2 linked regions of the Rhinolophus ferrumequinum genome follow. The protein of the gene in region 1 interacts with the protein of each later gene in a pairwise test. Links are inferred from orthologs where the notes say so. Each region holds a gene or a part of one and is shown on either strand. Other genes may lie near its edges.

Region 1 (6,852 bases):
TCGCTGCTCAGGGTATTTATGATGTAATTGCTCTAGACTCCCTCCTCATAAGCCATGGCAAAGTATGTGCAATTGCTAAGACATCCTGCCATACCCAGATTAATGCTTTGGGGCAAGGGGAAGTCAATACAGAAACAGTACTAAGGAAGCAGCCAAAGTAGATCTCGATGGTTTATAGGATTTGTTCAGTTGATTGGGTCTGGACCCTTGAGGAGCAGTTAATACTGCAGGTTGGCCTCATCTTGCTACTTGGAATCTTGTTGATAATAGCCTTATTAAATGTTCTAGAGACAAAAAATGGATTTGATCCCAGCCTCTGGTGGTCAGATTAATCACAATGACCAACAGAGTGACACCCTCAAAGGAGTTTTCCAGAAGCCAAGAAGTGCAAAAACAAGGAGTGGATATCATCGGGAGATAATTCTTCATGGGTCTCTCATATTGTGTGTATTTTGTGAATACAGGCACTGACTACTATTGGTGGGCAGAATAATGGCTCCCCAAAGATCCTAATCCTCAGGACCTGTGACTCTGACGCTTTACATGTGAAGGACTTTGTAGATGTGATTAAGAGATGATGAGATTATCCTGGATTACTTAGGAGGGCTCAGTGTTATCACAAGGGTCCTTATAAGGGAAAGAGGGAGGCAGGAGAGTCAAGAGATATACAATTGAAGCAAAGTTGGAGTGATTTGTCCATAAACCAAGAATGTGGGCAGTCTCTAGAGGCAAGGAACAGATTCTATTTGTCCCCCAGAGCCTCCAGAAGGAACACAGCCTTTGATTTTAACCCTTTCTAAGATCCATTTTGGACTTCTGACCTCCAGACTTGTGAGGTAATAAACCTGTGGTGTTTTGAGCCACTAAATTTGTGGTTGTTAACAGCAGGAATAGGAAACTAATGTACTGCCTTTGTTTTGGACTATGTTTTCAAGGATATCTGTATAGCGAACTGTCCTTGAAGATCTCTGAGCAAAGGGCTGCAGGATTACTGCCCATTTGTAAGATCTGGGTTCCCCACGCTTGGGATTTCTCTTAATGCAAGTCACTGTATGTGCAGGTGTCACCTGGCCCTCTTTGCATCATTCTTCAGAGGTTAGGGCTTGCTGAACTGGTGCCAAAAAAAAAGAAAATAAAAAAAATAAAAAAAATGATGGTACCCTGGCTACTGCTATTACCGCAACAAAGTCTGTTTCCAACCTAGGAATTTTGTCTTCTGCCAGCATTCATGAAACTTGGCTTGTAAGTACGTAGTGGGAAAATCTCAGACCCTTCACAATGCCTGATTATAGAATAACTCAGATAAATCACACTGTCATTCTGTCTTCGCCTTTCAATTCACTTGGGAATCACGTTATATGAATTATTGGGATGAAATGGAGTGATTGAAGGCTATACGTTTTTTTCTTTTTTAAAACACCTCTCAGCTGCCTACAGGTATGTAGACTATCTCAATAGGTTGCCTTCTTAAGTACTACAGAACTCCCAACATCCTAAAGCATCTTTTCCTATAAGCATTAGTATTCTCTGGAATACGTAGATGATTTGCTTCACATAATAGATTTTGCATTTTCACCTACTTCTCTCTGATCTCAGAGAGTACTTAAAATTTCTCCATGGCTCATTTGCTTAGTCTACACAACATGATGGCAGACTCTTCACATAGGATAACCTCCTAAGGTCAGGAAACACAGTCCAAATACATATGTGTTGAATAAATTTGTTATCTGAAAAGAAATCATTAGGCTGAGAGCTTCACACAGTGAATGGTTCCTTCCTCTGAACCTATTGCGAAGCAAGTAAGTTTCAAGGTATAGCAGTATAAAGTACGCATATGATCTAGAGTTCTAAATGAAATTTCCTGTCTAGTGGAAACATGACAGCCCAATAATTCAGTTCAACAATAAATACTCTGAAGCCAGGAACTGAGTGCACTGTGTGATTAAGACTTGATCCCTGTTTTCAAAGATCTTGTCTAATAAAGGACTAGACACAATTACGTTTAATACACGGCAGAATGTGATAAGTGACACCAAAAACAGCAATAAAGCTATATGGGAATATGCGGTATTTATAGAGAATGTATGGCCTACAAAGTCTAACATACTATCTAGTCTTACTTGAAAGTTTGTTGATCCCTGATCTGGACCCCCATCTTCAAAGGTTCCTTACAAGGTAGGATTATTTCTAAAAAGTGCTTTAATGAACAAATAACTATACCATATATTCTTACAGATACAGTACTTCATAAATTGTGCAAATACTTCAGAATTTAGAAATTAATGTAGACAATTAATTACAGAACAATTTTCTTAAGTGTTGGGTTAGAGATAAATGACTGGTTGTCCAATGGTGGAATTTTCTACCTTGAGAAGTAATGATTACCTTACATCTAGACACAAATATAGTCATCCTTCAGCAGAGAGCCTTGCATATGTTATTGAACAATGCTGTCAGAAATTTAGCTGATACCAGATGATGACTATATTGCAATTTATACTTTCCCCCCCCCTTCTTCCGCCTGCCCTCACCCCTGCCCCCCATTCTGGTTCAAGCCCTATTTCTCAGTCCAGCTGTGTATTATGAGCCTTGCACTCCCTCCCTGCTGAGGCAATCAGCTGGCCACTCATGGTAGCCTACCGCAGCACATAGCAGCCCACAGCAGCCCACGCCAACCTCCTGCAGCTCATGGCAGCCCAGCTCCCGGGAGAGCCATTGTTCACAATCTTAGCTGTAGAGGGAGCAGCTTACTGGCCCATGTGAGACTTGAACCAGCCACCTCCTCCACCTGTTTGTTAGCACTTGGAGTGCAGCGCTCCAACCACCTGAGCCACCAGGCCGGCCCCAATTTATACTTTCACAACTCCTTAGGCCCAGATTCCAAAGGGACTCTGCTTTAAAGTAGTCTTCATGCAACAGTATTTTTTTCCCAGAAGAGAGTTGGATAATTTAAAAACAAATGCAGAGTGCATCTTTGCAATATTTGGGTCACGTTGGGCTGTCGGGGTTTACATTTGTGTAACACCGATTAATAAAGTTAACGTTCTGGGTTGTACATTCCTTGAAAGTCATCTTTAAAGGCAAACAATGGCATCATTTTAAATTTGGAATTTTCAAGGGGAAAATAACTTCTTATTCCTTATTTGTACCTACACTACATTGAAAATAATTATCTTTAATATTACCTAAAGTTTGAAATAGAGCAGTAACTTAATTTGGTAGAATATAAAATGGAACACTTCGGCTAAACTTCCTAGTTGGGTGGGCACTGTTTCTGTCCCAATTTATGGGATAGTGTTCCCAGAAAATTGGGGGGGTGGCGGTGCTCGCGCAGGATTGTAAGAGCGGGAGCGGAGGCCCCAGTCAACACAGGTGGCCTGATCACCTGAGCACACTGGCCTGACCCAAGGACAGGAAGCCGTGGCCATAGAGCAATGACTCGCGGGATTGCGCACAGCGGCTGGAGACGTCTACATTTTCCTTTCGTAATGAGGATTTTTCCTCCATTAACTTAACTTCCAACTTCCGCGCACTGGGCACTAAGATCAAGCATTTTAAACCTTCCAAATAGGCAAAAACTGATCGTATTAAAATAACAAAACACCTCCCCTGCATTTATTACAGACCCCCGTCCCAGTGGGATGTACGGAGGGCGCCCAGACCCGCGAGCGCGGCGGCACGGCCTTTGACAGAACCGGGTAGGGGGAACTAACTGGACCCCCACCGCGCAGCCGCGACCACAGCAGCAGCGCCCAGTGGTCGAGCCCCCTTTCTAGTATTTTCGCTAGGCGCAACGTCATTCCCGTGCGCCGTGACAGTGCCTCCCAGAACCTGCGAATTTATTTTTTGGTGAAAGGAGTGAAAAGAAATGAACTGACCTCTCCCACTACACTTTGCTTTTAGTCCTTCCCTCTGGCCGTGCCTACAATTTGGGCCATGGAGCGGGAAAGGGAACGTAAAGCAGCCGGAACTCGAAGCGGCGCCGGCTGGGCATGACTCGGTGACGCCGCCAGCCGCATTACCCGGCGTGCCCTGCGCCGCGCCGGCGGAGGGACGTTGGGGAGGGGTGGGGAGGAGGAAGCGGCGGCGGCTGCGGATGTCGCTGCGACCAAGCCGCGTCTGAACGGCGGCTGCCGAACGGCCGACCCGGGCCTGCACCGGAGCCCACACCCAGCTCCGCGGCCCGCCGCCCGCGGCCCTGCGCCTGTTGACACCAAGGCGGCGCGTCCTGTATTCTCCGTTGCCCGAGCCAGCCTGCTGTGGCGTCTCCTGGCTCCCCCTCGCTCGCCTGCACCCTCCTGAGTCACTGCCGCCGCCGCCATGGCCGAGAGTGGTGAAAGCGGTGGCCCTCCGAGCTCCCAGGACAGCGCCGCCGCGGCCGAAGGTGCCGGTTCCCCCGCGGCCGCTGCCTCCGCGGAGCCCAAGATCATGAAAGTCACCGTGAAGACCCCGAAGGAGAAGGAGGAGTTCGCTGTGCCCGAGAATAGCTCCGTCCAGCAGGTGAGGGCCGCCCTGCGCTCGGGCCGGGGTGGGGGTGGCGGCAGGACCTCCGCCCGCGGCGGGAGGAGACGGCTTTGCAAAGGCCTGGGAGGGGGTCGTCCCCGGAGGTGCTCTCGGCCATCTCCGGGCTCGTCCCAAATTAGATCACACCCAACTCCGTGGATTTGCGCCTTGGGACACCGCTGAGGTTTGTGGCGGGGCCGCGCGGCCTGTTTGTAGAACGCGCCGACGCCGCTTCCCTCCGCGCCTTCCTTTTGCTCTGGCGTCCACGGACCCCCAGCCTCCGCCCCCAGCTCCCCGCCCCCAGCCGCCTCCCCGCTGCTCAGCACAAAGGAAAAGGACTCACCGTCTGGCTCCTGGCGAGGTGAAGGCTGAGCCGGGGCGAGGGTTCACTTTAATCTAGTCGGCGGTTTTGTCTCATGAATAAAAAAACTGGGCGGGGGGTGCTCATTGTTTTACCTGCCTGTGGGTTAAGGTGGATTTTACTGTGAGGAGCACGTGTACATTTAGTTTTGCATTTTGACTGCTGATGTCTTGCCCATACTTTATATTTAGTTTTTTAAATTAACTATGACGTAGATATTGCGTACAGCCACATCGTAAGAAGTAATACTAGGCTTAAGGAGAAAGGTGGATGACTTGCAATGATGACTTGCTGTTTTTAATGTGTTTATCTTGCCTTAGATGCCAATCATTGAGTTGCTTTTTGTTTGATTTTAGAGGAACGATAGCTGCGTTATTCAGATATTATCGTAGCGGTTGCAATCGAATAAAAGAACATAGTTGGCGTTAATGGACAATGCTATCGAATAATTTATAACTTAAAATCTTCAGGAATACAAATTGTGCAGTTAATTAGAAATCTTGAAGAATTCAACAAATGGTTTTAACTTTGTTGAATACATCCCAGAAAATTTTCTGTAATTATTGATCTCTGGCGATTTCAAACATTGTGAACAGTTTATGAGGAAACAGCAGACCCTAAAATGTACCTGTTTCCCCAGGGACGGTAAATGGGGTATTGGTTTATATAGTTCCAAAAGGTGGTGTGTTTTTTGAAGCGGTAAGTAGAGCATGTAGCATCGAGTGAGAGAAACTTTTACCACCTACTGAATCACCACGTTTTTTGTCTCAATTTTCCTAGGAAATTTTTCCTTAATTTTATATTTTACAACATACAGGAAAATTGAAAGAATTAGACAACGAACACCCATATGTCTATTGCCTACAATTAGCATTTTGCTGTATTTGCTCTATCACATCATTTATTAGTCCATTTTATTTTTTGGATGAATTTCAAAGTAAGTTGTAAGTATCAATTCATGTTACCCTTAAAAAGAACTTCAGCAATGTGCACATCATTAACCTGAGTTCAATTTTTCTTTTAATTTTTTTCTTTTTAAGTTTGACTTGCAATAAAATACACATGGTTTCCATTCTGTGTATTTCCACAAAACTCCTGTGTAATCTAAAGACTCATCATGATGTAGAACTTTATAGTAGACTAGAAAGTTACGTCTTACCCAGTCAGTTCAGTCACTCTCCCCTCCATCAACCACTGTTTTCATTTTTTTCCCCATGGGTTGGTTTTGCCCACCCTAGAATTTCACATAAGTGGGATTATATAGTATGTATTGGGTAAGGCTTTTTATTCACTCAGCATATATAAGTTTTTGAGATTTATTCTTGTATATATCACTGATTCCTTTTTTGTTGCTGTGTTGTTTTCCATTGTATGAATATACAGTGGTACTTAGGTTTTCCAACATCTCCGTTGACGAACATTTCAGTTTATGAACGCCGTAAGTTTTATGGATCTATGGTATCATTAAATAGTAAAATTCATGCTGAATTTGCAGTTTTAGGGGTTGATTTTAAAGATCTGGAATGGATTAATCCATTTTGCATTACTTCCTATGGGGAAACCGAGCCTCGGTTTTTGAACATTTCAGAACTCAGAACGGTCTTCCAGAATGGATTATGTTCGAAAACCGAGGTACCACTGTACCGTAGTTTATCCATTTTGTTGAGGTTACTTTGGCTGTTTCCAGTTAGTTGCTGTGAACATTCTTGTACAAATCTTTTTTGGACAGATGCTTGTCTCATTAAATACAATGGTACCTCGGTTTTTTAACGTAATCTGTTCCAGAAGACCGTTCGAGTTCTGAAACGTTTGAAAACAGCTGACAGCTAGGCCTCAGGATCTTGCACTCAGCGGAAGCCATGTGACATGGAAGCCATGTGACATATTCCACTTCCGAGGCGTGTTTGAAAACCAAAGCATTTACTTCTGGGTTTACGGCATTCGTAAACTGAAATGTTTGTCAACAGAGAGGTTCGAAAACCGAGGTA
Region 2 (7,467 bases), on another chromosome or scaffold:
CAGGGGTCTGCACACTCATTTCAGTTGAACCCAATTAAGATTTTTCTGCTTCCACTCTCAGCACTCTACACTCTTTTCACTGCCTGGGGGTACAGGCCAGATCTTGTCATTCCCCTCTTTTTAAGACCATTCATTCATTCATTCATTCAACAAATATTTACTGAATGCTTACTTCATACCAGACATTTGCTTAATGGTTTCCCCTTACATTGAATAAAACCCAAAGCCCTGTCTCCAACTCATCATCCTTAGCGGCCTCCCTTGCACACTACGGCCTTTATTTTGTTCATTCAATATGCTAAGCTTGGCCCTGCCAGTGCCTTTGCATTCACTGTCTCCCCCTCTCCTGCCTGTGACACAGGCTTGGCTCCTTCCGTCAGTTCAAAGCCCCATGTCAGAGAAGGCGTCCCTGACTACCTCTCCAGATCATTGATCACATCACAGTTTCCTTCATAGCACGTACTGCTATCTGAAATTCTCTTAATCACTCCTTTCACAGGCTTCTCCCTGACTAGAAGCTCAAGGACAGGGCTTTGTCCATCTTGTTCACTAGTCACCCTGGGACATAGCAGGCCCTCAATAAATATCTGTTGAATAAACAAAGCAGTTTGGGGAAGCCCATTTTAGGGCACCTCAAAGCCTGTTCCACGTTATCTAAACCATGCCAAGTGCTCTTGTACTCCACTAGCCAGGAGCTGACATTGCTTTATCTGACCACCATTGCATTTATGAAGCACTCCAGTTGGCAGGGCCTCAGGAAGTTAGAATTCAGTAGCAGTTAAACCGGATGGTAGGGAGCCAATCTCAAGTGACTGACAACAGGGCTTAGTTGCAATACTACCGTAACGCTGGCTGCTATGGGTACATTGTGGTCCCCCCAACCCCGCCCCCACCCCAGGTCATAGCAACCTGGCAGAGGTGTTACTCCGGTGAGAAATTTCCCACAGCAGTCTGGCCTGACTCAGCCTCTCTCTTCTGAGTGTCTATGGCAGTGTCTTGGTAAACGAATTGACTCGGCACTGTTCCAACTGAAACCAAAGTCTAGGAAAAGCATGTGTGGTCTCCTCTATCCTCCAGGAAGATCCTGCTGCTTTCAGTGTAAAAGGCAGCGGTGGTAGGTCACTTCCTTTAGATCCCCTACATACATTTCCTTCTATTCCCACCCAATTATCAGGCAAGAATGGCTCCTTGGGATACTGGAGGAGCCACATCCTGGAAAGACATGGATTTTCTCACGCTGTTCACTTTATGTCAACAGCCTTCGATAGCCAGAGGATTTCAGTACCCAGGCTAGTAGCCCTGTTACTTCCTCCACCATGATCACCCCATCTGGGAGGGCCTTTTTGAGCAACTTGACTGCCAAAGGCCTCAGGGTATAGCTTCGTCACCAAAGGGGGAAACTGTCACCCCCAAATGCTGCACTTCCAGAATCTGACTCTCTCACCTCTTCAGCCCCTCTGGGGGACCTTCCCCAGCCAATCCTCCCCCTGCCTCCTCAAGAAGGCCACCTGAGTCTGTCCCCTCATGTCCAGCTGCAGGATAAGTTTGAAACAGACCTTTCAGGATTTGATCCTCAGGCCCATCTTAAGAGCATAGAGCAGGGAATCCAGTCTCAAAATAAGTGCTGCTTCCCTCAACCTACTAGGGACTGGACGAACGCCCCCTCCTCCAAGGTGTAGCTCCTTCATTCTCTCCTGCCCTCCTGGAGAAGTGGGGCTTTCCTCAGCTTTCCTTCCCCCAGCAGTCACCCAAGAATTCCCACTGCATTTGTTCCTCTCCCCACACCCATCCAGCCAATGGGGAACTTCTGAGCTGAAGCCACATATCATATTAACAATATCCAAAGGACTGGAAGGGAGTGCCAGTTTCCACAAAACAGACACTTCCGGGGTATGCTTCCCTCAGCCAATAAAGGAGATTTTTCTTCTTTAAAGGAAACCTCTCTGAAACCCGACCTTTTCCCACTCTCATCCACTGCATGGGGCTTCCCTCAGTTGACTCCCCTCTCCCCCACCAAACACCTCCAGGGCTCCCAATTCACCTGTTCTTCACCCAATATCGCAAGTCTCCACCAACTGCACCATCGGAGCCTGCCTCCTAAAGCCTAACATCTGTGTCCTCAAATAGGGGCTGGTAACGATGGCATCATTTCACTATCGGCTGCCCCAACCGGCACCCTCAGGAACCTGAGAGATCCTTTCACCCTTCTCACTTATTGTGTAGAGATGCCCTTACTCCCCGCAAACGTAGCCACCCAAGACGCCCCTTTTCTAATCAACACAGAGATTTCCTCAGCTAACCTCATCCCCAAAACTAACGCAGGAGCCGTCCCCTTAGCCAATGGGGGATCCTCTCAGTCATTCCTCAGGATCCCGTTTCCTCCTCCCATCCATCCTGACGGGCTTCTCTGAAGTCCCCGCCAAACGAACATCCCAAGGCTTCCCCCCGCCACCCGGACGAACAGCATGCAGAAAAGGATTTCCATAAGCCTTAAGGCGCCTCCTCCTCCTCTACGGAACCCCTCGATCTCCACCAAAGAGCCGCCAGCCCCGATCTCCTCAGCAGTGCCTCTGGGCGCTCCCCTCGCCCGCTCCCGCCGCTCAGCAGCGCCGCGGGGCCCGTCCCTTCCTCCCTGCGGGGCCCTCACGCCGCCCGGGGGAGCTTCTGGGCCTCGCCGCGCCGCCCACAGGCCCCTCAGGCCCCCGCCCGTGCTTCCGGCCGCCGCCTGCTCCTCCTCCCACTCAGGCCCGCCGGGCAGCCGCCGCGGAGCCTGGCGGACAGAGGCAGCGCAGAGGCCCTAGTCCCGCTGCAAGGGCCTTTGCGGGTCCCCGACCCCCGGCCCGAGCCCGCGTTCCTTCGGCCGGCAGGGCCCGGCGCCCCCGCTCACCCGAGCCCGTGGTGGCTGCCATCTTGCGTCGCTGTCGCTCGAAGGCCGGCCCCTTCTTCACCCCCCACCCGTCCTTGGGCCCTTCTGCGCAAGCGTGCGCGCAGGCGCAGACGTCATCGCTGACGCCTGCCGCGGACCACGCGATCCGATGCTGGGGAAGGTTTTTTTCCTGCCTTTATAGATAGAGGAAATATTTGCTTGCGCGAGGGCCCGGCTATGTGCAAGTCCCTCCGGGCTTGGGTGCGAAGGAGGTATTGAGATGCTTGGTGAGAAGGGCAGGGGTGATCAGACTTGGGAGGCGAGATTGTGAGAGAAAGAGAAGAAAAGACAATTGTAAAAAAGCGCCTATTTCGTTTCGAGCATTTTCCTATCTAGTTGGATCCTCACCACATCCCTACCAGGTCGAGATTAATATGAAAAACGAAGCTGAGTCGGGTTAAGCCATTTATCTAAATTCAGCTGTTAAGTGGCTAAGGCCGAATCTGAACCCAGGCCTGATCTTCTTGCTTCTAGGGTTGATGCTCCTGCGCCAGAGGAGGCTTGTAACCGGGCAACTAAATAATTTGGGGCATTAGAGTGGCAGGAAAAGCATTCACTCATTTACACATCGATCGATTTGTTCATCCAAACACTTAACTAAGCATCTACTATGGGCCAGGTGCTGTACTAGGTGCTGGGGATGGATATACATCCCTGAAGAAGCAAGCCCCTCCTCCTACGGGCGTACATTCTAGCCGGAGACAGAGAGCAAGTAAACTAACAGGAAAGAACATAATTATGAGATTATGTTAGAGAGTAACATAGAGAGTAAACCAGAGAGTAAACCAGGGATAGAGAGTAAACCAGGGAAGGCGCAGCAGGGGGTGGTCAGGGAGGGACTCCTAAGGTGGTCACATTTTAATGGAGACCTGAAGGATGTGAAGGAGGTAGAGGAAACTGTTTACACGTCCTGGAGACATATATTTGCAGGTACATGTTCAATGCAAGAAGCAACTCCCCCTTTACCACAGATGGTCTGAGAAGCCCTTATATGGATGTGGAAACAGGCTGTGAGAGGTAAAGGAACTGCTTGAAGGTCACACAGCTAAACACTGGCAGAGGAAGGACCAGAACTTCAGTACCGAGGAACAAGAAAGCCGGAAGCCCTTACTCAGCACATCCAAGCCATCACCTTGTTCTGACAGCCATGCTTCCTGAGCATTTCTCAACTCCATCCACTGTTCTTCCTTAGGATAGGCTGCCCCTGTCTCCTCCCACTGGATGACCCCAGCAGCCTTCATTCATGACCCCATGATCCATGCTCCACATGGCAGCCAGAGTCTGCTCCAAAACCCATCAGGGAAAACTTTTCAGTAGCTTCCCACTACCTTGGGATAAGAATACAGACTACAAACTGAGTGGCCATAGAATGATCCTCCAACAAGGACACTCGTCAGACTGAAAGTGGGCCTAGTATAATCTTGCCAGGGCAGCAAGCAGAAACGAGGACTCTTCAGGGCAAACCAGGACGGATGGCCACCCTACCACAAGGCCCTGCACCTAGGGCTAGGACTAGGATGGGGCCAGTGAGGAGTCTAAGGAATCAAATTTAAGGAGGCTTTCACGCTGTGCCTCCCTAAAAGGTATACCCTCAACTTTCACCCCTCCATGGCACTCACTACCTGCACCTCAGACTTGCTGTACCTCTCCAGTTACACTGGCCCTTTTCAAGGCCTCTGGAACACAAGTCCTCTCCCTCCTCAGGGCCTTTGACTGGACTGTTCCTGCTCTTCTGTGCAGGAAGATGTTCGCCCTCTTAGGGAAGCTTTTCCTAATTTCGCCATCCAGATCAAATGCAGCCGTAATCGATTTGCAAAGTGTCAAGAGTGTCTCCTTCCCAGCACTGGCCACAGGCAAGCATCTCGACATTCCATGTATCACATCATTCCAGTTTACCTTGAAGACAATGGAAAATATTTGCCCTGATCTTTGGGTCCCTGTAAAGCATCAGGTAGCAGGTGGGAAGCGTTTGGGCTCCTAAGGTGGACTCACCTCTAGAGTGAAGTTTTCTGGGTTTGAATCCTCCACCACTCACTTTGCTGTGTGACTTCAGGCAAGAGACTTGAACCCCTCCTGGCATTAGTTTTCCCTTCTGAAAAAAGGATAGTATCAACCTCATAGGGTGTTGTGGAAATAAAATGCCCAGGTAGCATAAATAAACAGCAAAATAAAACCGTTGGGCACAGAGGAAGGAGGGTCACTAGAAGAAATGGCATTTACCAAGACATCCAGGTTTTAATCGTCGCAACACAACAACTCAATGCGGCATCTCCTAGGTATATCCCCATTTTAGAGATGAGAAAACTGACTTTTTCAGCTAACAATGAGGATTGAAACACAAGCCTCTTATCCACGATGATCATAAATATTTACTTGCGTAGATTCCTTGGTACTCATAGGGAATTTCTGGCAAGCGAAAAATATTTATCGACAATAAAGCAAATTCCTATGCAAAATACCTAGCAGGAGGAATAGGTTAAGCAGGAAGTCTCCGGGCATGCTGGTTATTATAGTCCAGCGGTGTCGCAGAGCCTTCTGGGAGTTGTAGTCCTCCCCTTGCTCACACTCTCTCGGAGAAACTCCGCCCCCTCCCCAGAGGTCACAGCCGGTCCCCAGTGCGGGATTTCTCTGGCGTGTTTGGGCCCGGTCCCTGCTCCGCTTGAGCCGGTAGCTTCAGCTGGTGCAGATAAGAGAGCTCTGTTTTATGATATTGTTGGGAATATTAAAATGGTTAATAGAACTAAAGAATTTAAAAAAGGGTTTGGCACAGAGCGAGTGCTATATAAGTATTAGCTACCACTATTATTATTATTATTATTATTATTATTATTATTATTATTATTTAATCCTCATTGACCCTTGCAAAGTAGCTATTATGATCTTTTCTTGTCAGATGAGGGAACTGAGGCTGGAAGGAGTTAGATGGCTTTCCCAGGGTCATACAACACGAAGGAGTAAAATCCAGTTTTGGAATTGGGTTCTCTTAATCCTGGGTCACCTGCTGTTTCCTCTGTGGTGAGGAAGGTGGAGCCTGAGAAGTTTGAAGCAAAATGTGAGCGTATTTGCATTTTTACAAACGCAACCTGGCTGCCTTGAGGAGATTGAATTGGGCTGCCGCAAGACTGGAGGTGTGGAGTCCAGAGAGGAAGTGCGTCGGACACTCCTGACTCTCCGTCCAGTCTCCATGGCCCTTCGCGCCAGAAGGTCCAGTGTTTAGGTGTGAATCCAAGCCAGTCATGGGCACTACCATTTCTTTTTGCCAGTGATTGATCCAGTGGCGTACCTGTGTCCTAGTTCTTTCTGGTCAATGAATTGTGGAGGGGGCATGTTAGAAAAGTTTTTGTCCCTTCATAACAGCAGAAGAGAAAACCTTTTTTTGTCCCCTTTCCTCCTTCCTAAAGATGAGATTGTGATGGATGGAGCGGTGGCAATCATAATGAAACCATGCGACACAAGCCTGAGGCCAAAAAGCCTACCGTCTCACCAAAGAGGCCAGCACAGAAAGACAGAAAGAGCTAGGACCTGGCTGATGTAGTTGAGCTGCTGGATGAATCCAGGGACTGCCTACCAACAGGCTTCTTAAGACATGATCCAATGATTGTTTTTATTGCTTAAGCTGCTCTTAAAGGTAAGTGTATGTGGTCTACAGCCTGAAGTATACATAGTTGATACAGGAAGCTGGCACAATGCTCCAATCAAGAGATATATAGATGTGGACGGTTCCCCAGTGTTCACTGAAAAACACTGTTCTCAAAAGATGGGGAAACATCTGGGCAGTTTTGGAATCTCTGGATGTGAAAGGCATGAATAATTTGCAACAGTACATTCAAAATGTAAAAACTGCAATATACTTTACAAAATCTACAATATTAGTTTTTGGAGCAACACACACTTCTCAAACTCTACTGTGTGACACAAATCACTAGGAATCTTTTTAAAATGCAGATTCTGGTTCCATGGGGGTGAGGAGTGCTGAGATTCCGCATTTCTAATGAGCTCCAAGGGATACCAATGCTGACCCACAGACTACACTTTGAATAGCAAGGTTGTGGATAACATTATATAATTTTGTTTATATTTCCCATTTAGAGTTAAAGAAAAACCCCAACCTCCGTGCTATAGCTTGTATAATACAAACTACAGAAAGTAAAGCTGACGAACTGTTGATAGGAAGTGTCACGGGAACCCAGAAGACAGAGCGTATAATTCCTAGGGAGGTGTCTGTGGTTGAGGGTGTGTGTGACACATTTGCTAGTGGCATCTCATGGCACATACATGGAGTTCTGTTCCCTAGGTGTGTCTGAAGTATAGCATTGAATGTTTGGTATTGCTGCTAAAATATACAACCAGAAAGGGATGGCAGTAGGTGGGTAGGGGGATCTGGTACAATTCATTCACTCACTCTTCTACTGATGGACATCTGAGTTGTTTCCATTGGCTTCTTCCTATACAATTTATTTCTGTAATGTCAGAATTTTATATTATCTGTTAACTTTTGTGGTCAGGGAAAAAGGAATAAAAACCAAGAGTCTGGAGTTGGG

Evidence for each region. The genes of interacting proteins can lie anywhere in the genome.
Region 2: the proteins of UBQLN1 (region 1) and UBE2V1 interact in binary tests that used the Homo sapiens proteins (3 or more experiments, as listed by UniProt). The link is inferred for Rhinolophus ferrumequinum from reciprocal best matches to the Homo sapiens genes UBQLN1 and UBE2V1.

The regions. Positions count from the first base shown.
Region 1 is NC_046295.1:47,098,030-47,104,881, reverse strand, and holds the start of UBQLN1 (ubiquilin-1), read left to right. Parts: upstream 1-3,832; 5' UTR 3,833-4,320; coding exon 4,321-4,500; intron 4,501-6,852. UniProt on the Homo sapiens protein: Plays an important role in the regulation of different protein degradation mechanisms and pathways including ubiquitin-proteasome system (UPS), autophagy and endoplasmic reticulum-associated protein degradation (ERAD) pathway.
Region 2 is NC_046306.1:9,444,008-9,451,474, reverse strand, and holds the start of UBE2V1 (ubiquitin-conjugating enzyme E2 variant 1), read right to left. Parts: upstream 3,012-7,467; 5' UTR 2,910-3,011; coding exon 2,888-2,909; intron 1-2,887. UniProt on the Homo sapiens protein: Has no ubiquitin ligase activity on its own. The UBE2V1-UBE2N heterodimer catalyzes the synthesis of non-canonical poly-ubiquitin chains that are linked through Lys-63.